Linked DNA regions of Lonchura striata. The protein of the gene in region 1 interacts with the protein of each later gene in a pairwise test. Links are inferred from orthologs where the notes say so. Each region holds a gene or a part of one and is shown on either strand. Other genes may lie near its edges. The genes, in order: RTN1 and UGCG.

Evidence for each region.
Region 2: the proteins of RTN1 (region 1) and UGCG interact in a two-hybrid assay, tested with the Homo sapiens proteins (2 studies listed by BioGRID and IntAct). The link is inferred for Lonchura striata from reciprocal best matches to the Homo sapiens genes RTN1 and UGCG.

What each region holds. Positions count from the first base shown.
Region 1 is NC_134608.1:5,408,911-5,420,158, reverse strand, and holds the start of RTN1 (reticulon-1), read left to right. Parts: upstream 1-6,137; 5' UTR 6,138-6,152; coding exon 6,153-6,342; intron 6,343-11,248. UniProt on the Homo sapiens protein: Inhibits amyloid precursor protein processing, probably by blocking BACE1 activity.
Region 2 is NC_134642.1:61,621,487-61,632,066, forward strand, and holds the start of UGCG (ceramide glucosyltransferase), read left to right. Parts: upstream 1-5,446; 5' UTR 5,447-5,459; coding exon 5,460-5,557; intron 5,558-10,580. UniProt on the Homo sapiens protein: Participates in the initial step of the glucosylceramide-based glycosphingolipid/GSL synthetic pathway at the cytosolic surface of the Golgi.

The DNA.
Region 1 (11,248 bases):
CTTGGAAGCACTGCTGATTACCTTCAGGTGACAATTGCTTAAGGTATCTCTGGGCACAAAACATTGTTTTTACCAAGCATGTGTTCCCTTTTGTAGCACTTTTCTCAATATTTTCATATTGCAGCAGTTCTGGATCCCAGGAATGGAGGTTGTGCCTCTCAGTTACATTAAAAGGAACAATCTCTTGTGGGTTTTGGAAGGGATTGTGGGTTTTATCTCCAGAGGTCGAGTCTCTGGTACCCTCTGTGCCATGGCAAATTATAAATGAAAACCATTTGAGTCTCCTCCAGCTCACAAGCCGTAATCTTCAGTATCCATGGGTTTCTGGAGATGTGCAAATGGTGCATAATCAACGCTCAAAGCCTGATAAAGGCATGGATCAGCATAAATCAGGACTCAGAAGCCAACCCCTAATGGACTTGCTGAGGAGCTGTGTAATGTACAGAGCACTCTGTGCACAAATACCTTCTGATGTAATGCAAGGGAATGAGAATGCATTAAAAAATCTGATTCTGCATCTCTGGCTGTACCTCTCATGTACCAGCATAACTGTCCTATGATTGACACAATTCTGGCCAGACCTGTGTCTCCCTTTTTTCAGCTTCTCCCTAAGCAAATTTGTGGATATTTTTATTGTAATTATCTTTTTGTTTGCTTTCACTGTTTAACCAGTATCAAACCATTGCCCACATAGACTTCTGGGATGATCTGCTCCGGGCTCACATGGACTGTCTTGTCTCATGCTTTCCTTTCAGCTGGATCATTAACAGTGCAATTAAATAGCACCAGACCCAGTGGTGTCAGTCTGAACATTTTCCTCAGTGGTGACTGGCCTCTGAAACTGCTCTGCCAGGACTCAGAGAAGGAAGTCCTGCTCCATGCAGCTGGGAATGTCTACAGGACAAATTCTAATGTTTCTTCTTGTAGTATCCTTGGGCTGGGCTCCCAGGAGGAGCTCTGTAAAAGGAGGAAAAGATTATTGTTCTGAAGATGCTCCTAAGCAGCACTTGCAGTGGCATGCAGAGATCCTGCTGCCACATGGAGGATGCAAATATCCTCAGATATTGCATGGATTCAGATTCAGACTGCTGGGCCAGCCCCCTCCAGGACAAGGAGCCACTTCAGCAGATGTTGTGTGCTCTAGAGGGGAGTGCAGAGCCTTTCAGACATTGGGGGAGAAATCCAGCTGCCAAGCCCTGCTGAAACAAGGCCAGTGCTGCATGTATTTTGTATATCCCACCTACTCACCTGTCTGCTCTGCTCAGCTCTGTCTCTGCAAAGAGCTTGAAGCTGGGGAGGAGGGAGAACTGGCCATGTTTAGCAGAAGCCTGGGAGGTTTCCTCCTCTCTGACCCCTGCCAGCACCCACCCCACAGCTGTGCCAGGTCACAGGTTTGATAATTTTGCTCTTTGAGCTCCTGATTTCCTTGCAGAGCCATCTTTGCAGAGAAACAGAGGCAATCCCCAGCACTCCTAGAGCAGCTGTGGATGCGCAGGGGATGAAGGATGGAGCAGTCAGTCAGGCTTACCCGGGGAAAGCACCACCTTTAATCACATTGCATTACAACTGGAGGGCTGGAGAAGCTGAAAGCTCTTGTATGATGTGGGAATTAAAGGGCCAGGCAGGGTCTCTGTGCTCTGCTGTGATGCACCCAGCAAACCTCAGAGCAGTGAAAGGAGGTTAAATTACACAGCATGCAGTAAAAATGCTGCTATTTAGACTCTGGTATTTTTGAAATTGCACTTTCTAAAGGTCCAAGGTGAACCAGTCTCCCCATTTTAGTGCATATGGTAAGAGTGGGACTATCCAGATCATTTTAGAGAGCTGCAGTTTTGGACTCAGTACCTGTCTCATCTCTGAAGTTGTTCTCTGCAAAGGGAAGCACTCCCTACACAGCTGTTTGTCTGGGAAAGCTGGAAAGCTGCCATCACACCTGCACCTTCTGCCTTTCCTGGCCTTGGCCCATTTTCCTGGCACTGGGATGCTTGTTCCTGCAGAACAGAGCTGGTCTAAGACCCACAGGCTGGTGCAGACACTCCAAATCCCAAAGCAGTCTGGAACAGGAGCCCGTGGTGGGGCTGTGGGGAAGGTGGGGAGGTGGATGATGCCTTGGAGCTCAGGAGTTTGGGGTGCCTAAGTTCAGAAAAACCTGAAACACTGCCACTATTGTGGGGAGGAAAAGATGAAAAGGACCTTGGAGAAGCTGCCTGGCCCTGCTTCATTGCCAGAGCTTGTGGAGAAGGAGAGGGAGAAGGTGGAAGACCAAAGACCCAAAGGGCTCCCTGGGAAGGATCTGTGTGGACTGAAAGATGATGAAGGGCTCTGCTGTGGGGAGAGCCACCAGCACCCACAGGTCACCTTTTCTCTCAGGCCTTTTGCCTCTCTGCAGTGACAGTTTTGAGTGGTTTGGTTTGCCCAGGAGGAGCTGTATTCTCACCAGCTTTCCAGACTCTCTTTGGGTGTTCCAACACCTCTCTATGCCTTGTAAGGTGGGTGTGTGCCAGTGTAACCCCACAGCACTGGGGCTGCTGGGCTCCCCACCTGTCTGTGTCCAAATGGGATCTGATTGCAGGCTGGGGAAGGGGATTCCTGCCTGCAGGCCAGCCCAGTGCTGTCACACACTGCCAGAGGTTTGTCTGTGTGAGGGTGAGGATGTGAGACACATGGGAAGCAAGGTGGGCTGCAGTGCAGATGTGGAGAACTGAAAAAGAGTCTGGTATCTGCTTCAGTGTTGAAATATTTTCTGTGAGGTAGGGGAGGTTGTTTTACTTATCTTCATTTTCCTATTTATGTGAAAAGCTGCCTTTTTTTTTTTTTTTTTTTTTTTTTTTCCTTTTTCCTGTTGCAATTAATTTATTCTGAAATCTTGAGAATAAATCCTTAAGGAAGAAGAGATGATTTTTTTTTCCATTGCTGAATCTCTTGATATACCCTGCCAGGTCCTGGGCTCTTTGCTGTTAATTTTACATCTGAGACCACAAATTCCCTGAAGGTTCAAAGTCACTTTGTCCCAGCATCATGCAGCATCCCCAGAACACAAAGGGCTATAATGGAAAGAGAAGCAATTTGTGTGTCTGTGTTCTCAGACTTCATACATTCAGAGGTTTATAATGTCCAAAGGGTAGATCAAGGTAATTAAATACCAATAAGCAGAGATAGATGAGCCCTGTGCAGGTCAGTTTGCTACACAATACGATACAAACTACCAGGAGCTTTTGTAAATGCATTGAAAATAGAAAGAATTCGTTTTTGTTCCTTGTGCCACTAACAAACTCACACCTCTCTTAAATAGGTATTAGATTAAATCTTCATCCAGCCTGATTTTCCTGTGGGGAACTTAAAAAACCCCTGTAAATTAACTTCATGCAGGACAGCCCAGGTTGTTCCAAGTTCAAAGTTTTCTCTACAGCATGAAAAATGGACTAATCAAGATTTTTGAGTATTGTCTTGTTGCTCCTGTTGTTTTTTTTTTTTTTTTTTTTTTTTTTTTTCTCACTCCTCCTGGCAAACCAAAGCTTTGCTATCAGAAATGTATGTATCACATCTGTGTGGTCAGTAGGAGCTCAGGGTTTGAATCCAAGGTTTGAAATAAGACTTCTGGTTTTCTCTTGCAATATTACATGGTGATGAGCAGAGTTGATTGTATGGTGAAATAAAATCCTGGGTTGCCTTACAATTGGGATTCCTGAAGCAAAAAAAGAAAAAAAAAATTAAACTATATTTATTTATATACAATTGTAGACTCATTACAGTTGGAAAAGACCTCCAAGACCTTCAAGCCTAACATTTGACCAACCAACTCCCTGTTACTAAACCATGGAGTGCCACCTTCAGACATTGCTTGAACATCTCCAGGCATGGTGACTCCTCTCCAGCCCCTTCCAATCCTTGGCAACCCTTTCCTTGGAGAAGTTGTTCCTGATGTCCAACCTGAACCTCTCCTGGTACAACTTGTGGCCATTTCTTCTTGTCCTGTCCCTGTTCCCTGGAGCAGAGCCCGACCCCCACCTGGCTGCTCCATCCTTCTGTCAGGAGTTGTGCAGAGCCAGAAGGTCCCTCCTGAGCCTCCTTTTCTCCAAGCTGAGCCCCTCCTGTTCCCTCAGCTGCTCCTCATCAGACTTGTGCTCCAGGCTCTTCCCCAGCTCCCTTCCCTCCTCTGCAGCCCCTCAAAGTCTTTCTTGCCATGAGAGGCTCAAAACTCATCACAGGATTTGAGATGCAGCCTCCCCAGTGCCCAGCACAGAGGGACAATCACTTCCCTGGTCCTGCTGCCACATTTTTTTATACAGGCCAGGATGCCATTGACCTTCTTGACCACCTGGGCACTCTGCTGACTCCTGCTTGTCCCCATTTCTACTCAGTAAGCAGAGCACACAGTCCACACTCTTTCTTCTCAGCCTTTTACTGTAGTAACACTGTCTGTGCTCATGGCAGCAGCCTGACATCTCGATAACCCCTTTGGTGTGTGGGAATGAATCACTCCCAGTGGCCGTGTGCACCCATTCTATTAATCTATTAATCAGGTAAACCCTGATGGTATGGGACGGGATTTGCCATTACAGCCATGATGACTAAAATCATTGCTGCTGATCTGCAGCAAACATGTCCTGTCTTGAAATAAAGAAATATAGAAAATCATATGAACCTGGGCATGTTCTTGGCTGTGAGGCTGGTGATGCCCTGGCCCTGGCCCCCCTGCCCACAGCATCTGTGGCAGTGTTCCAGGCCAGCTTGGATTGGGCTTGGAGCAACCTGGGATAATGGAAAGGTGTCCCTACCCATGGCAGGGGGTGGAACTGGATGGTCTTTGGTCTCTTAGGTTCCTTCTATCCCAAACCATTCTAGGATTCTCAGGCAGCAGCAGAATGGAGTGAGGATAAGGGTGACAATTCCCTGAGAAGATAGCACAAATGAGAATCATCAAGGCTACTTTCAAAGCTTTTCATCTTGTATTGTGGCCTTACCCTGGATTTCCTCCCCCCTTGTCTGGAAAAAAGAGGAAACATGTCCAATTTTCAAACCCAAGCATAAAGGTTGCTGTAGGCTGCCTAGGGCTGCTGGGACATACAGATCACAGCTGAGATCCACTCCTGCAACAGGCAGAGAGCCTGTGGGAATGAAATCTTCTGGCTGGGGCAATTATGCTCCACTTTGCAGCTTGACCTGTCGCATGACAAGAGAGAGGCCCTTCTGCAAGGCAGGGAATTTATTTCCTTGATCTGTCTGTGCCAGAACTCTGTGCAATGCAGGAATGATCCCATACCCGTTACCTGAATCCATTTGCTCCTCTGTAAAAGGACAGCAAGGAAACTTGTTCCTTGTTCACCTGAGAAGTAGCACAGATTCTGTGAAAGCACCGACTCTGCTGTGTGCTTTCCCCTTTGCTGTATCTCACGCTGCTGCTCTCCCTGACAGCAAAAATCTCTTGACATTTCTCATCGCCCCGGTACACACACATGATTTTGTGAGGCAGTAAGCAAGCAAATATAACGGCACAAAAAAAAGGGGGAGAAGAAAAAAAAAAAAAAAAGGCACACAGACACCTGCTGCGAGTTTATTTTGACAAGTGCCAATAAGCTGCAAACAGAGAGGAACGAACCGGATAAACAAACGCAGCGCGGCTTCTCTTGCTGGGTTAGGGGCTGGCGGAGATGGGGGGAACGGGCTGATTTTGGGGTTTTAGGGCTTGCTGAGAGCTCCGTGCCCTGCCGGCCGAGCCCGGCGCTGCGGGAGGAGCCGTGCCCGGCTGCGGCGCCTGCGGGATGCTCAGGAGCGCAGGGATGCGGAGGAGGGGGGCTGCGGGAGGGGAGAGGGAGGCGTGTGCCTGCCTGCCTGCCGGGGGGCATTTCTTCCCTTACCCGCACAAGCCGATGCCCACCCTGCTGAAGCAGTTAAACGGGGGAGAGCAGCAGCCCGGCTGGCAGATCCCTGCCCTGTGATATGCCAGCCACAGGGTGACGCAAGGGCTGGAAGGCTCCGGCTAACGAGCCATTTTCACCTGCGTAACAAGCGCCGGTGGAGATCCAGCGGCGGCGGCGGCTCCCGGTCCCCGCAGCCGGCCAGACCCCAGCGCGGCCGCAGCTCCAGCCCAGCCCGGCGGCCACCGCAGCCCTTCCGCTGGCCCCCGCTGCGCCCGAGAGCCGGAGGTCAGCATGTCAGCCCCGCCGGACCCCCAGGACCTGCTGCTGGCCGGCACTGGGCTGCACTGGGCTGCGGACCGGCCGGACCAGTACGCGGCCGGGGCTCCGCTGCGGGATGGAGACGGGGCTGAGCAGCGGGAGCAGCTGGGCTTCGGCTCCGCCAGGGAACACCCGCCCGTTTCCATGGCGACTGCATCCCCAGGTAAAAGGCGAGGGGTACCCAGGGATGCTCAACAAAGGGGGCCCTGGCAGCGGCGTCTCCCGGTTGTCTCCTTCCTGACGCTGCCTCTGTTTTCCTCCCAGCCTGGCTGCTTGGAAACATTGCTAGCGAGTTAGTGAGCGCGTGTAGGGAAACAGAAAATAACGAGGAATTGCGGCCTTTGCAAGTAGTTATTTTTTGCTGATGTGGGGGAGGGGGGACGCAGGAGACAGCCAAGTTCCCTAAAGCTCTTTGCAGTTTGTTAGGCACAAGACAAGCAGATTTCAGGCAAATGTTGAAAGGCATTTGATTTCACCTGAGCTGATGTGGATCTGTCATCATTTGTCATACACCTGTTCACATCTGGAGTGACAGATCTCGATGGACTTACTTCAGCTATCCCCCGTGAACCTGGAATTCCTGCATGGTCACTTATTATTTCAACACGCAGCTTTTAATGGAGTGCCTATTCTGAAGTGTTTGTACATTTTGTGCATGCTTTTGGGACTTGTTCATTTATTTGTGGACTTCTTGCTTGCTGTGTTTTCCACCTTTGGAGCACTGAGGTGTGTTCGACTTCAGGTGCATTCAGTTTAGGGTCTGCAGGTTCATTGATTTTCAGTTTATTTTGGGGATGTGTTCAATTTCCCTTGGTTTGGGGTTGCATTCTTTAGTAGATGTATTAATAGCAGGTGTACAGCTGTTAATGAACCCCAGGAGGCTTCAGCTCTCCATAGCTTCTGGTAGAAATGTTTTGGGGAAAATTATTCTATTTCATTCTTGGGGACAAATCCCTACTTTCTTTCCCACTGTCAGAGAACCCAAACAGCCAGAAGCCCCAGCCCTGGGGGAGCTGATACATCCCATCTCACTGGGAAGTAGATGTTTCCATTACAGATCCTGAAGCATTAAACTTGTCTTGAGTAAGCTGAGGGTCAGGGCTCGGGACAGGAATCGATCTCTGTTATGCAATAGCTGCAGGAGCATTAGGAACTGCGTTTTTGGGCTGAGTCCCTTCTAATCCCCTCCAGTCAATCAGCACAAAATTTAGCTGGCTCTGCTCATACCCACACGGGTGGTTTCGTGGGGTCTGGGTGTGCGTCGGTGCCCGTGGTGCTCCCGACATGGATGTTCCCCTGTCTGCTGGATGTGACCGAGCTCAGGGGTAGAAGGATCTAACACCCCTCAGCTGATGTGGGAAATGTTTTGCTGTTTTGTAGCTCTGGGCAGGCAGCTGATCTGCTGATGTGCTGCTCATTCGCTGAGCTGAGTGTCGGGGTGTGAAACGTGACTTTTACTGGAGGCAGGGGCAGAGGGCTGGGGATGTCAGGCTCTGGGAGTGTGTGTGAAGAGGGGCAGGATTGTGGTCACCAGGTAGGGCTGCCTCAACCATATAATGACACGAAGAAGAGGGGAAAGGAATCTTGTGAGCTTTTTATTTTTTTTGTTCACTGATGGATAAAAATACGGCCATGCTGAATCTTAGCATACAGAACAAAGAGGGGTGGTCTCTTAAACTGTGTAAATCACTATTAAATGGAAACACTGTGAAACTGCTTGCAATTAATGGAGGCTTCTTCAGGCTTGACATGGCTGTAGATTTACACTTGGAGAATGCAGAATAGAGAGACAGAAAGAAAAGAAAAAGGAGAAAGAAAAGAGAAAAAAAGGAAAGAAAGACAAAAAAAGAAAAAGATGAAAAGAATTTTTTAGCTTTTGGAGTCCTCTGCAAAGGGGTTTTAGATGTGTTTGCTTGTGTCAAACTGTGACAGGGTGGAGGCAAAGTGAGTGATACAGATATTTCTTTGGTGTTTGCTGGCTGTGGACTCCCAGACTGTCAAATCAGCAGTACTGTAAGAGTAGTAGCGTGCTTTAAACGTTTCCCATTTTGTTTTCCCTGTTCAATAAAGAGCAGTTGTGTGGCTGTGTGCGTGTCTGGCCGACCATGGCAGACAGAGCAGCATCCCAGGCAGTGCAGCCCTGCAGTCTCCCTCTGTTTGTGGCTGCAGCAGCTGTATTTCTGTTCCACACTACCTAGAGAGCCACGACTCCCGCCCCCTTCACCGGGGGAACTAAATAATTTCCTTGTTCTCTCTGTGTGACTAAGTATTCATAAGTTTCTGAATAAGAAGACTGTCATATTGTTGAATATCTGAAACTGTCAAGCTTTTTCTGAGAACTCTTTATTTCTCCTGCTCAGAGAGAGATTCCTGCCTATTCCTAAGCCATAGGAATGGACCCAGCAGGAGATGCACAGCTCCAGCTTTTTTACAACACTGCCATAATCTGCCATAAACTCAAACCCTCCTGACACAATGGGCTATCTGGGGACAAGGAGCAATCCATCCAACCAAACAAGAGTGAATTGGACAGAATAATTTTCAGGTAGTTTCCCCAGCACATCCTGTATCTTCCTCCACACCTGTCAGACCGGTCTTTTTTTTTTTTTTTTTTTTTTGGTGAAAACCATGGTTATGCTTTCTGAGGCAAGAGCAGGGTCTGGAGTCTGGGAGATTCTCTCAGCATAAAAATAACTGAAAGCAAATGGGGGTAGTTTATCACAGGTTGTGCAGATATTTTCTTATACAACCTAAAAATTTGCAAACTTTCCCCGATCTTGGCTTTTGTTTTAAGTTTGAAAACCAGCCAGGGATTGTTGAAAGGTTCAGGAATATTTTCAAGCTGGCCTTGGGCCCAGCTTTGAGCCAAGCTGGCTTTGTGTCAAAACCTGGTGAGTGGTTTCTGAATGATGAAAAGCAATGGATTTCACTCCCCATTCTTTGGATCAACCAAAATCAGCAGTGATTGAGACTGCAGAAAAAAATTCCCACGAGGAGTGGAAAGCTCAGAGATTTCTCAAGCAAAGTCAGGGCAACAGGAAGCTGCAGATCCCACATCAGCCTCTCCTCTTGCAGGCCTCCAATGAAGATCAACTCCAGTAGCTTCTGATCAGGGATAAGGCTGTTTCTCTTGTTTCATTTCTTGGCCCTTGAATTTTGCTGAAAATATCTCTCTTCCTCAAATACCTCAAAGTTTTCCTCCTTCCCAAAAACGAATTTGGTTCAGGGTGAGAGGACCTTGCAGGCACGTCTTGCAAGGACTGGTGAGGGAAGTGGTCCTTAAGGGCTGGTGAGGAATTACATGTTGGTGAAGAGAGCCCCATGTCACCCAACACACCATCTGGTCACAGATTCTGTTATTTTATTTTTATGCACCAACAGTGATTAAAATCCCTTGAGAGGAATTATTTCCAAAAATATTACACAGGCTGACAGGCGTTCCCCAGGATAAATACATATGGTTTCCTCCAGAGAAATGGCAAAATGGTACAATGGACTGTACCTCCATGCTGGACGTGTTCTGCAGGGAAAAATAGCAGGGAAAAGCCAGGAACTCACACAAATGGTGATTCCTGTGTAAGGATCTGGGAAATTTCATGCAGCCTGGTGCATGGGTGGCTATCTGCAGGGTGATACATTAGTGGTGTTATGCCCCTGAGGTTAGAGAGCTGCCAGCTCACGTTCACTCCAGGCAGTCAGACAGGCCACAGCAGTCAGGACATCCCTGGAAATCCTGGCCCATTTCCAGCTGCCTCCAAAGTCAGGTCCAGCTGCCCACAGGAGAGGAGGCCAGTGCCACAGGGGATGGCATGAATAACTGGGACATGGCTATGGGGGCATGATGGGATGGGGAATATGGCCTGTGGGAACCCTTCTGGAACAGCATCCAGGGGGTGGCTGGGATCTCCTGGGGCGCCTCAGTGGCGTGGAAGCCCTGGGAGTAACAGCACCCATTTGGTGTGTGCCAGGGAGGGACTCAAAGCTGCTCGGGTGCAGCAGATGAGTTGGGGAACAGCCTCTGCCTGCTGGGGAGCAGTGGGAGACCAAACTCCAGGAGTGTTTAATGCTCTAATAGGGGCAGATATAAGACAGAAGACTGTGAGGGGTTTTAGCTCCCATTGCTCCATGATGAGGACAATCTGTAATGCCAGTGCTTTAAGTAAAGACCTTTTCAAAACCCCTTTCTAATTCACATGATTTGTAGAGGCTGGGTTTGAAGCTGTGTGCTGTGTACCCACATGTTCTCAGCATGAGCTTACCCACCAACCCAATCCCCTGCAGTGAGGTGCTCCTGCCATAAGCCTCAATTCCACTGATAATGCTGCACCAGTGAATCTCAGTTCATGGTTTCTCTCCAGTTGCTGGCAGCTTTGCACCTCGGCATGAAAGAGATTTCTGATGGTTTTCAGGCAGGTTGAGAACCCCGTGGTTCACCTGGCTGGAGAGAAGTAGGCATGGACATGAATGTCTGCACTGCTTGGGTTGGGCACTGACACTTGGGGTGTCAGATCATGGACAAAGGCAGCAGATTCCCCAAGACAACTGGCTCTTTGTGGCCTTCCCACCCCTTCCCAGGTGTTGCTCTAGGAATATTCCCTCTCCCCAAAAATCCATAGCAATGTGCTGCTCTAAGCCACCACACTGGAAAGGCTAAGGCACAAACCTTAATTTTTTAAGTTGCTGTAGAAAGGTCTTGGTGGATTCACTGACCTAAACATGACACAAGGGAGCATCAGCAGGTGTTTGGAAATGTGTCCTGAACTGCCAGGCAATCCTGCTCAGATTGAACCACCTGGGGCCAGATTTAGTCTTGCTTTGGAAGAATATATATTGATGTCAATACTATTATCAACACTTTAGTCTTTTCAGATTTAGAGAATTGAATTTAGTTTTTCTCTGCTGTCTGGATTAGCCACTCACAACTTCTGATCTACTGCTGTGAGTGAAGGGGACAGAGATCATTTGGTGGAGGTTCTCCCCATTCCCTGGTGTTTTGTTAGTGCAAACAGATTTTGCAGAGGGACAGAAACAAAGAGGATTTCTTATTGGATCTTTCTGTTCTTGTAATC
Region 2 (10,580 bases), on another chromosome or scaffold:
CATGTAGCAGCATGGAAATAGACTAGCTGAGGGTCACAAAGATGACAGATACTGAAGCATCTGACATATGAGGAGTGACAGAAGTGTCAGGATTGTTCAACTTGCAGAAGGCCCTGGGGGAATGTTACCAATGTGCACAAATACCTAGTTGGGTGGAGTAATGAAGATGGAGATGACTCCAAACTCAGCAAATTACTTTCAATGACCCTGTTCAAGCAGTAAGTTGGAATAAATTATCTCCAGAGGTCTATTCCAAACCAAATTATTCTGTGACTCTGCAAAATTATTTACCTTGGTCATCTAGATGTAAATATTCTCCAAGTATTCCACAATTTAATGCTGAGTGCATAAGCCTAATTATTGCCAACAGCAATATTTGGGAGGTTTATAGGTTAATCAGCCTGGATCGACTTGTCAAGGAAAATACATGTACCTGAAACATCTGAGTTCTTTTTTAAATACTGCTTTCCTGTTCTATTACAAAATTATTTCTGAAGATCAAAAGTACTGAGGCTTTATTCCTTTCAGATTTGTACTTGGAGGTTTCACTGCAACCTGTAGCTTTAACTTTTTCAACCTTTGGGCATAAGAGCTCTGGTCTCTGATTTTTCTGGTGTTCAATTTTTTTGAGACACAATAACAGACAAGATAAAGTCTGTGTTAAGGGCTAACTAGAACTGCATTTGTTAAGCCTCACAAGCCACTTCACACATGCAGGTCAGATTGCTTGCTACTGCCAAACAAAGAGGACACTGGTGGAACTGTCTCTTTTTTGGTCTCTCTCCTGCCCCTGCTAGACAGGCTTTTATATGTGCAAGTGCTCTAGGACTTAAATGTAAGTTCTGAACTCAGACATGGAGGCTAACAAGCAATTGCATAGATTTCTGTATCAAATCCAACTAATAAGTGTGAACTTTATTAATAACGTAAACATTTAAGAGGAAGATGCAAGGCGGAGTATTTATATAGTAACAAAAATGCATAGCTGTAATACACACATTTCTTTGATTTAATTAAAATGAACAAAAGTGGATTTTTAACAAAAGAAGACAGACATCTCAGAGTTTAAATTACTATAACCAAGTTTTGAAGACACACAATCCTTACCAATGCATGCTCTCTTTATAATGAAATATTTTCCAAAGCATTTTCAGAGTGTAGATGCATTAATGGATCTAATCATTAAGCAAAGAGAAAACTTCCACTGTCTCTCCCCATATTTTATATTTTCATAAGGAAAATTACACATAAGCAAGAGAAAGCAAATTTATTCTTGCCCTCTATTTGCTCAGAACTTCAGTGATGCCATTCTAAACAGAAACAGTAATAGTAAAGTGAACTGGGAAAAACATACTTGGAAACACTAATACAAATTCTGAAATAGCAATTCAGCACATTTTAAATACAATTTTAACTGAAATCCAGGTGACAAACTGTCTTGTCATTTGAGGATGGAGACTTAGATCAATTTTCTGTCTCCAAAGCTTATGTAAGCAATGGTTTTCAACAGAAACTGATGGTTGAGAAGAAAACTGGGAGGTCTGTATAGGGTTAAAACCTTTCATAGGTATACCAGTAAGAGAAATATCAGTGGTTTTTGTTTCCACAGCCTTCTCAGCATTAATACCGGTATCACTACAGATTAATCCACTATTGTTCCTTTGTTAAATAATTATATTTATCCCTTTTTATCAGTTCAAAATTACACGAGTGTTTCTATTGCATAATTTTTGCTGTTGGAACAAGTCTCATATCTAGGTCACCTCAGGCCTTTATGATGAAGATTTGTATTAATTAAATATTTTTCAACCTACAACAAACTACACTCAAACATTGTTAAAATTAATCAATATTTTGGCAAAATGATGAGTGAACCAAGAACAGCAGCTTTATAGCACATGGGAGGGCTAATTTTGTTTTTAATTTAAACATAGCACACATTTGCATTAAGTCCCAAGCACTTGATTAAAACACCAGGGTGTATCCTGCCCCAAGGCATAATGAGGTACGTTTCAGTAGGCAGATTTGCCCTGCTTGAAGAACACTTCTCTTTGTGAATTGTTGCACTCCACACTTACAGAGGGAAGACCAAGTGTACATCCCATACTACTGAACTGTCACAACTCCAGGCAGTCCCATGCTTTAGGCACCCTTTACTCTTTGCTCCCCTACTAATCTTAATATACCTGCTGAAAGAATCCATGTGGCAGCAAATTTTACAAGAGAAGTTGCTCAGGTTGAAGGCTTTACCATCCCTGATTCTCCTCCATTACAATCCTGAAAGTATACTGAAGACTCTGGTTTTAAACCTTACACCAACGTGAAAATTGAGTGCTGCAACTTTTTACCTTAAATACCTCATGAGAGAGTTCTTTCTCCTCATATAACCAGAGGGCAGAATGACATCCCAGAGAGGATGACATAAAGGTGGATCCTTTTCTGGACAAAGTTATTTGTACTAGCTTGGTGTTTCCCCGTGGAACACTGCTTGAGGACGGCTCATTCATCAGTATGGCTGGCTGAAGTACAGGAGTCAGTACCTCTATTCATCTTATTTATGAAGAAGCCTCAGCAAAGTTTGTTTGCAAGGAGTCATTGACCCTACCTATTGCACAATAAGCAGCATCTCAATCTAATCTTGCAGGCAAACATCTTCGAGCACAAAAAAATAAGCTTTACTGCTTCAGTTTAATAAACTCAGATTATTTGCTTTACTGATTACTGGCAGCAGGCCCTCTATCTTCCTGAATTCCCTGTACTGTCATATTTTAAACCAAGATACTCTTTTGCATAGGCTGTTTCTGCCTTAGAAGAGAGATGCAAGCAAGATGGAGGTAAAGGTCATATGAGCTATATTCCAACAATTAATACGTATCAGCTCTGAATTCTCTAACTCAACTATTTTGAGTCTTGTGACTGTGCCAACATTGAGCATGGCAATTTAAATCACAGCTAAAAAATTCCTATAAAGCTCATTGAGGCAATCTTAAATCAATATAAATGTGATCATTAGACTCTAAATGAAGGAACAAATAGAAAAAATACCTGCCACTTTCAGTTACAAATGACATACAAACACAATAGGGGAATTTGAAAATTAAGGTAATTTGTTTTACTTGAAAAGTTATTTTTAAGGAAGTTATAATAAGAAATCACTGAAGCCAGTGAAAAGGCATGTTGCTGGCCCCATGATTTATTTATGTGGAAACTAACATTAACCAGGAACTAACAGATTATACAGGCAGTATTCACACTAGAATGGACTGATACCTCACCTGTTATTACCAGTTATTAGTAGCTTTTCGCTTTTAGTTTTAAATTATTAATTTGGTCAATTCCACACCAGGTGAGATACCTTTTTAAGTTGCCTTTAAATTACTATATCTTAACTTCTGACATACAGCTAGAGCTAACTTGAAACCAAATTCTTTCTACAGCTATTGTGGTGACTAGGATACTTTTCAAAACCACAACTGAGTTCTAGCAGAATTTAGGAACACTCCTGTACCTACATTAGTAAGAGAGAGCAGTGGAGGAATAAAACTAACAACTATTAGAGAACATGCATACACTGCAATATTCAGCTTGTGTTATTGGTGAAGACTACTGAGAAAAAGTATGCCTTCTTATGTACAGGTAAACATAGTCTTTTATGTAAAGCTATGCTTATTCTGGCAAGTTCAGTATAGTCAAGGCACAGCCAGTCAAGTCATTTTGTCCTCTCACTGCATACCCCAGTTTAATGGAGTTTAATTTAAAACAGTTAATACAATGCATGTTTGCCTATTACACAATAAGAAAAAAAAAAAAAAAAAAAGATAAACTGATATTTCTGACCCCAGATCAAAAATGCTGAACTGTAAAAGAAAGCAGAAGTGTTGGGAGGTTTCTGCCTATGAAACCCCTCAAAAATAAATGGAGCCACATGACAGTAATAGGAATTGCCATAAACACTGTAATGAAATAAAGGCAAGAATAGCTGGCTCAGAGGATTAGTAATGAGCAACTGACTCTTTCATTAACTGGACACTAACTCAAACGTAGCCAAAGCTGGTAGTCACCAGGTTGCTTTAGCACTGCTTGGGATCCACAGATGGCAGTATGAGTGTTGGAATTGCCCCAGTCCTTGGAGCAGATCTCTGACTCACAGAGTTCAGCGCTGCCGGCAACTCACAGATGCACACCTATGCTAGATATAGTACATCACCAAGAAAGTGTTCAGACTGAAAAGGAACAAAGAAAAACAACAAAGGCCATACAGCCTTTTATCAGCCCCCCTCACACTAGATCTCAGAACCAGAGAACAGTTAGTGTTGGAAGACACCTCTGGAGATCATCCCATCCACCACCCCTGCCAAGGCAGGGTCACCTAGAACAGGTGAACCAGGAACAAGTGCAGGTGAGTTTGGAATGTCTCGGGAGAAAGAGACTCCATGACCTCCTTGCATAGCCTGTCCGAGTGCTCTACCTGTGTAAAGAAGTACTTTCTCACGTTGAGAGGAACTTCTTGGTGGAACTTCTGATTTAGTTTATGGCCACTGTTCCCTGTCCTGTCGCTGGGCCTCGCCGAAAAGACTCTGGCACCTTGAGTCTTGGCACCTGATTTTGAGATATTTATATGTATTAATGAGATCCTCTCAGTGTTCTCTTTTCCAGACTGAACAGCTCCAGCTCCCACAGCCTCTCCTCAGAGATGCTCGGCGGCACCGGCAATATCCGTCTACCCCCGATCCCCTTCTCCGTGTATAAAGGACTGCGGTCTCCTCAGCGGCCAACACCAAAGTTGGACGATACAGAGCCAGCGCTCCTGCCGCGCCCGCACCCCTCCCGGCGGCCGGAGCGGGGCACACCCGCCCGCCGCCGCGGCGCGCACCTCCCTCGGCGGCCCGCGGGGGACGCGCCCAAGGTCAGGCGGCGGCGGCGGGCGGGGCCGGGCCGGTAACGGATGTGCCCGCCCGCCCCGCCCCCTGCGCTGACAGAAAGGCGGCGGCGGTCTCGGTGCGCGGGCGCTGCCGCGCGCAGGCCGGTGCGGAGCAGCAGCGGCGCCCCCGGAGCCGGCCCCGAGCCCCGCAGCAACCTCCGGCCCCGCACCCCGCAGCAACCTCCGGCCCCGAGCCCCGCAGCAACCTCCGGCCCCGCACCCCGCAGCAACCTCCGGCCCCGCACCCCGCAGCAACCTCCGGCCCCGAGCCCCGCAGCAACCTCCGGCCCCGAGCCCCGCTTCCCTCCTCCGGCCCCGCGCCCCGCTTCCCTCCTCCGGCCCCGCGCCCCGTTTCCCTCCTCCGGCCCCGCACCCCGTTTCCCTCCTCCGGCCCCGCACCCCGCAGCAACCTCCGGCCCCGCGCACCGCTTCCCTCCTCCGGCCCCGCGCCCCGCTTCCCTCCTCCGGCCCCGCGCCCCCGCAGCAACCTCGCTCCGCTCCACCGCCGGCTCCTGCCCGGGCCGCCGCGCCCCCGGGGATGGCGGTGCTGGCCCTGGCCTCGGAGGGGCTCGCCATCTTTGGGCTCATCCTCTTCGTCGTTCTCTGGCTCATGCACTTCATGTCCATCATCTACACGTAAGCGCTGGGGTGCGGGGGGATGGCGCCGGCGTTGTTCCGTCACCCACCCGCCATCGCTCCCGGGGCGGCCGGGCAGCGGGCCCCGTCCGCCGCGCCGCCTCCGCCCCGGGCCGGCGGCTCCCCTGCCCCGGGTGTCAGGCCGGGGACTCGCCTGCCTGCCTGCGATGTGGCTCCCGCAGACCCCGCCGGGACACCCGGGCGTCGGGCTGGCCGTGCTTAGGGCATGGCTGTGTCCCTGCCGTCGTCTTCGGGTAAAAACCGTCTGCTGGTTTTCTGCCTCCTGCTCTGTGCGGCGATCTTTGCTCCGTTGCCCTTGGTGCTGCTGGGGAAGGCTTGGTGTTTGTTGTGTAGTGATGTACACTTAACTTTACTGGTGGTGGTGAGAGAGCAGGGTGCACAGGACTTAGAAAAGGCATGATGTTTGACTGCAAAGGTGGAACAACTGAAAGAGCACAGTACTCTGTGCCAGCCATAAGCACACTTCTTTTTTTGTATTGAGAAATAACGATAGTACTAGTAAAACAAGTATATGTAGTGAGTCAGATCCTTCTTGGATAAGTCCAAGATAAAATGCCTTTAGAGTTGTGAGCAGTGTTTGCATTTTAGTGACTGATGAAACAGATAGAACCTGACAGAGGAATTTTCTATGGGTAAGTGGGGAAAGGATTAAGAATGCATCTCTTTTTAGATAGTTGTTTTGCTTTCTTAAGTAAAAGGCCATTCTTGCATCACTACTAGGATTAGAAAATACCTGAATTTCTGTTTGCTTTCCTTGTGCTTATCTGTTCTCCTTTCTTGCCGCTCTACTGCATATGATAGGTACCTGTGATAAACCTCAGCCCTGACTGAAACAAAGCTCGCAGAATGGGTCAGATTGGAAAGGATCATAGTGGATCATCTGGTCCAGTCATTCTTGTTAATCCTAAAGTGCAGACAGTTCTTGAATATCTCCGGTGAGGGAGAGTCCCCAAGCTCTCTGGGCAACCTGTTCCTGCTCAGTCACCTGTACAGTAAAAAAGTCCTTCCTCGTATTCAAGTGGAACTTCCTGTGTATCAGTTTCTGCCTTTTGTCCTATTGCTTGGCACCACTGAGAAGGGCCTGGATCCATCCTCTTGGCACTTTGCCTTCAGATACTCACAGACATTTATGGGGTCCCCTCTCAGTCATCTATTTTCAACATCTATTTTCCCTTAGCCTTTCCTCATATGAGGGATGCTCCAATCCCTTAATCATTTTCAGAGGTCTCTGCTGGATACTCTTTTTATTCCCTTTTACTTGGGACCCCAGAACTGGACACAGGATTCCAGGTGAGGAGCCAAGGCTGAGACAAGGGTCAGGGTTCATCTCCCTTGACCTGCTGGCGATGCTCTTCATAATACAGCCCAGGATACCACTGGCCTTCTTGGCCACCAGGACACTGCTGGCTCGTGGAGAGCTTGTTGCCCATCAGGACCCCCAACTCCTTCTCCACAGAGCTGCTTCCCAGCAGGTCACACCCAGGCTGTGCTGGTGCCTGGGGCTGTTCCTCCCCAGGTGCAGGATCCTGCATTTGCCTTTGCTGAATTTCAGAAGGTTCCTCTGTGCCCATCTCTCCAGGCTGTTGAGGTCCTTCTGAAGGACCTGGGGTCCATGGAGTATCAGCCACTGGGGTATCAGCCACTGCTCCCAGCTTTGTGTTGTCAGTGCAATTGCTGAGCAGGCCTCTGCCCCTTCATCCAAGTCATTGATGTATAAGTTAAACAAGACTGGGCCCACTAACACTTTAAAATTGAACCTATGAACACCTTCCTTTTTTTTCCTTTTTTTTTTTTTAGTGGTTTTGTTGTTGTGGTTTTTTCTGGGGGGGTGATTTGTTTTTTAAAATACAAAGTCACTAATAAGCTCTAAGAGTTTTATTTTCTTTTGCTATAGTTCAGTTATCCTTAGATCTTATATTCACTTGGATAATTAATTTCTCTCTTGAAAACTATCTGTATGGGTTACCTTGGACACAAATGGTGTGATTTCAGTACTGGGGGGGCAGAAAGTGTGCTTAGTGGGGGAAGAGACTACTTTGGGCATGGCTGATTTTGGTTGACTTTAGAGATGATTAAAACTATCTATCGCGTGCTTAAATCTCAACCTGCCAAGTGAGCATGTGTGGTGCTTTTATGAATAAGTGACCACTGAAATGGGCAGGAGACACAAATAGGGAAGATGTGCAAGAGGGTGAATAGGAGGCAGAATGATGAGATATGCTAAGAGATGTGAGAAGACAGAGCAGGGAAGAGCTAGAGGGAAGGGTACACTTCTGGGCAGTCAATGCCACAGGAGCTACCCCCTCAAAGGAACTGCCTCCTTTGGGGGCAGAACTGGAGCAGGGACACTCCTGAGTGCACTCTGGGCTTCAGGTAAGGTACTCCTGAATGGACTGTAACCTGTGGACAACCCGTGCTGGTGTAGAGACGCCCTGAGGGGCTGCAGCGCCATGGTTGACTCTCCCCTGAGGAAACTGCAGCCCATGGCAGGCCCATACTGGAGCACAGACTCTGCCAAAGGGATTGCAACCTGTACATCAGTCATTCCTGAACAGTTACACCTGCTAGAGCAGAGTAGCAGTTTAAGACACAACCAGTAGTGGAAGATGGAAGAAAATGAGTAAGAAGTAAGTCATGGCAGAAAAACCATTATGTGCTGACCCTTGCCTCCTGTGTCATCTTGCTGAAGGGCTGGGGAGGGACTGAGTGTAAGGAACCATGCAAATGAACAGTTCAGAGAGGAGGGTGAGGGGGAAATGTTTCTTACTGAAGCAGAGCCTGGAGAAGGAGGACAAAAGGTACTTCCCTGAAAGTTAGGTTGTCTTGTTTTCCTCAATACCCAAATTGATAATTAGTTGCCTGATGATTGCCAGTAGTTTAAATTGAATTGCCTGAGTTGAGGCAGTTTTGCCTGTGACAGTAATTGGTGGGGAATGCAGGCAGCAGCTGGACTAGGTATGGCCTGCATTCTAGAATATTTGCAGTGGTGTGAAATCTGGAAGGAATTGTGTTTTTTATTACAAGTGCATGTATAAATTGTGTGTTAACAGGTGGAAAACTTGTCCAAAAAATAGTTGTGGATGGAGTGGGTAAAAAGTGGGGTGATCTAATCTCAGCCTCTGAGGCCCCTGGTCTGCTTTCAGCAGGGCTCTGGAACTGCCATCTCAGTAGGGCCAGAGTCAGGAGCTGTCTTTGACAGAGTAATGGGCTGGTGGCAATGGGTGTATTTAGTAGTTGGTGCAAAACAGTGCCCCTCTGTTGGAGGTGAGCAGCTGGTAGCACTGAGGTGACCAAATTGCAAACTGTTCTGGGTTCACAAGCAGTTTTTGAGGAGCTGCCCTGGTTACAGTGATTCTGTACATCTGAGGAAAAAGGACCACAGCTCCCCATGGTGTGACCACACACTTGCCCTTTGAAGTGAAAATTTAGAAGTGGGGGACACCATCCCAAGCAACTGTCCTTGCAGCATCTGTGGTGGTGATGAGAAACAGTAGCTGATGGGATGTTGCTGATGGCTGGAGAGGGCACTGTGCTGGTGCATTTGGAGCCTGTGCCACTTGTTAGCATTGCCCTGTGTGAGGGGGGATGGCTGGGAGGTTGTCTGATGGAGTTGTACATGGAGGAATAGCTTGGTCCTGCAAGAAAGAAAGTTCTGTGAAGGGAAGGTGAAGGAGTTGATCAGTGGTATTTGCGTTAAATGCTGGAGCTTGTTTATGGGGAAAGGGCTCCAGATAAAAGATGATTGCTGGTGTTATGGCTGAAAATGCTGGTGGCTGGACACCGTTACTAGTGCCCTTCATCTCATAGAGACTAGTTTTATTCTGGATGGCAGACACTGCACCCTTTCTGAGACCCCTGAGGTAGGAAAGGATCTTCACATATGGACAGAAACTGCTTTTTATGTTGGAGAATGCAGTATTAGACTAGAACTAGATGATATTTGGCATCTACTGAATAACACATTGTTCCTATTATAGGCAGTAAAGGAGAAGGATGAAAGGAATTAGTCTTCCTGTTTTCTCCTTACAGACAGTATTGCTGGTTTAATTTTTCTGAAGTCATTGAGGTACTGCTTGTGCTCAATCTACACTGTGTCTAGCCATGCTGTATTGGTGAGTTGGAAGGTCCCCTCTGTGCCACTGGAGTATTAAGATAATATTGTAACGTGTCAGTAAAGCTGTTGTGGACTAGACAGTCATCCTTCTATTGTTTCCCATTGGTATTTAAGAAGTTTGATATAGCAAAGCACTTAGAATGTGTGAATTAAGTAGATAAATGGAGTTATTAAAAAAAAGTAAGCTTTTTTGTCTTGAAATACTTTCAGCAGTTGTTGAGATTAAGATCAAGACAATATTTCTTTTGCAATGATTCATGCTGTACTTGCATTTGAAGTTGTAGGGTTTGGATATCTAAGGTACTGTTCTTCCATTCTGTATTTGCAAAATCTGGTTCTTTCCACCTCTTTTCTCTACTTTGAATAAGTTTGAAGCACAGAAACATCTAGGTTGGAAAAGACCTTCAAGATCATTGATCCCAACCTTTGACTGATCACCATCTCGTCAAGTAAGTCTTAGCACCAAGTGCTATGTCCATTTCTTTAATATCCCTGGGAAAGGGGACTCTGCAACCTCCCTGGGCAGTCCATTCCAATGGTTGACAACCCCTTTCATGAAGAAATTCTTCCTGATGTCCAACCTGAACTTCCTCTGGCAGAGCTTGAGGCTATGTCCACTTGACCTGTCAGCAGTTGCCTAGAAGATACCAACCCCCACCTGGCTACACCCTCATTTCAGAGTTGTAGGGAGCAATAAGATCTCCCTGAGCCTCCTCTTCTGCAGTCTGACCAACCCCGGCTCCCTCAGCTGCTTCTCGCAGGACTTGCTCTCTAGACCCTTCTTCGGCTTTTTTGCCCATTTCTAGACAAGCTCCAGCACCTCGATGTCTTCCTTGTTGTGAGAGGCCCAAAACCAAACACAGGATTTGAGATGTGGCCTCACCCGTG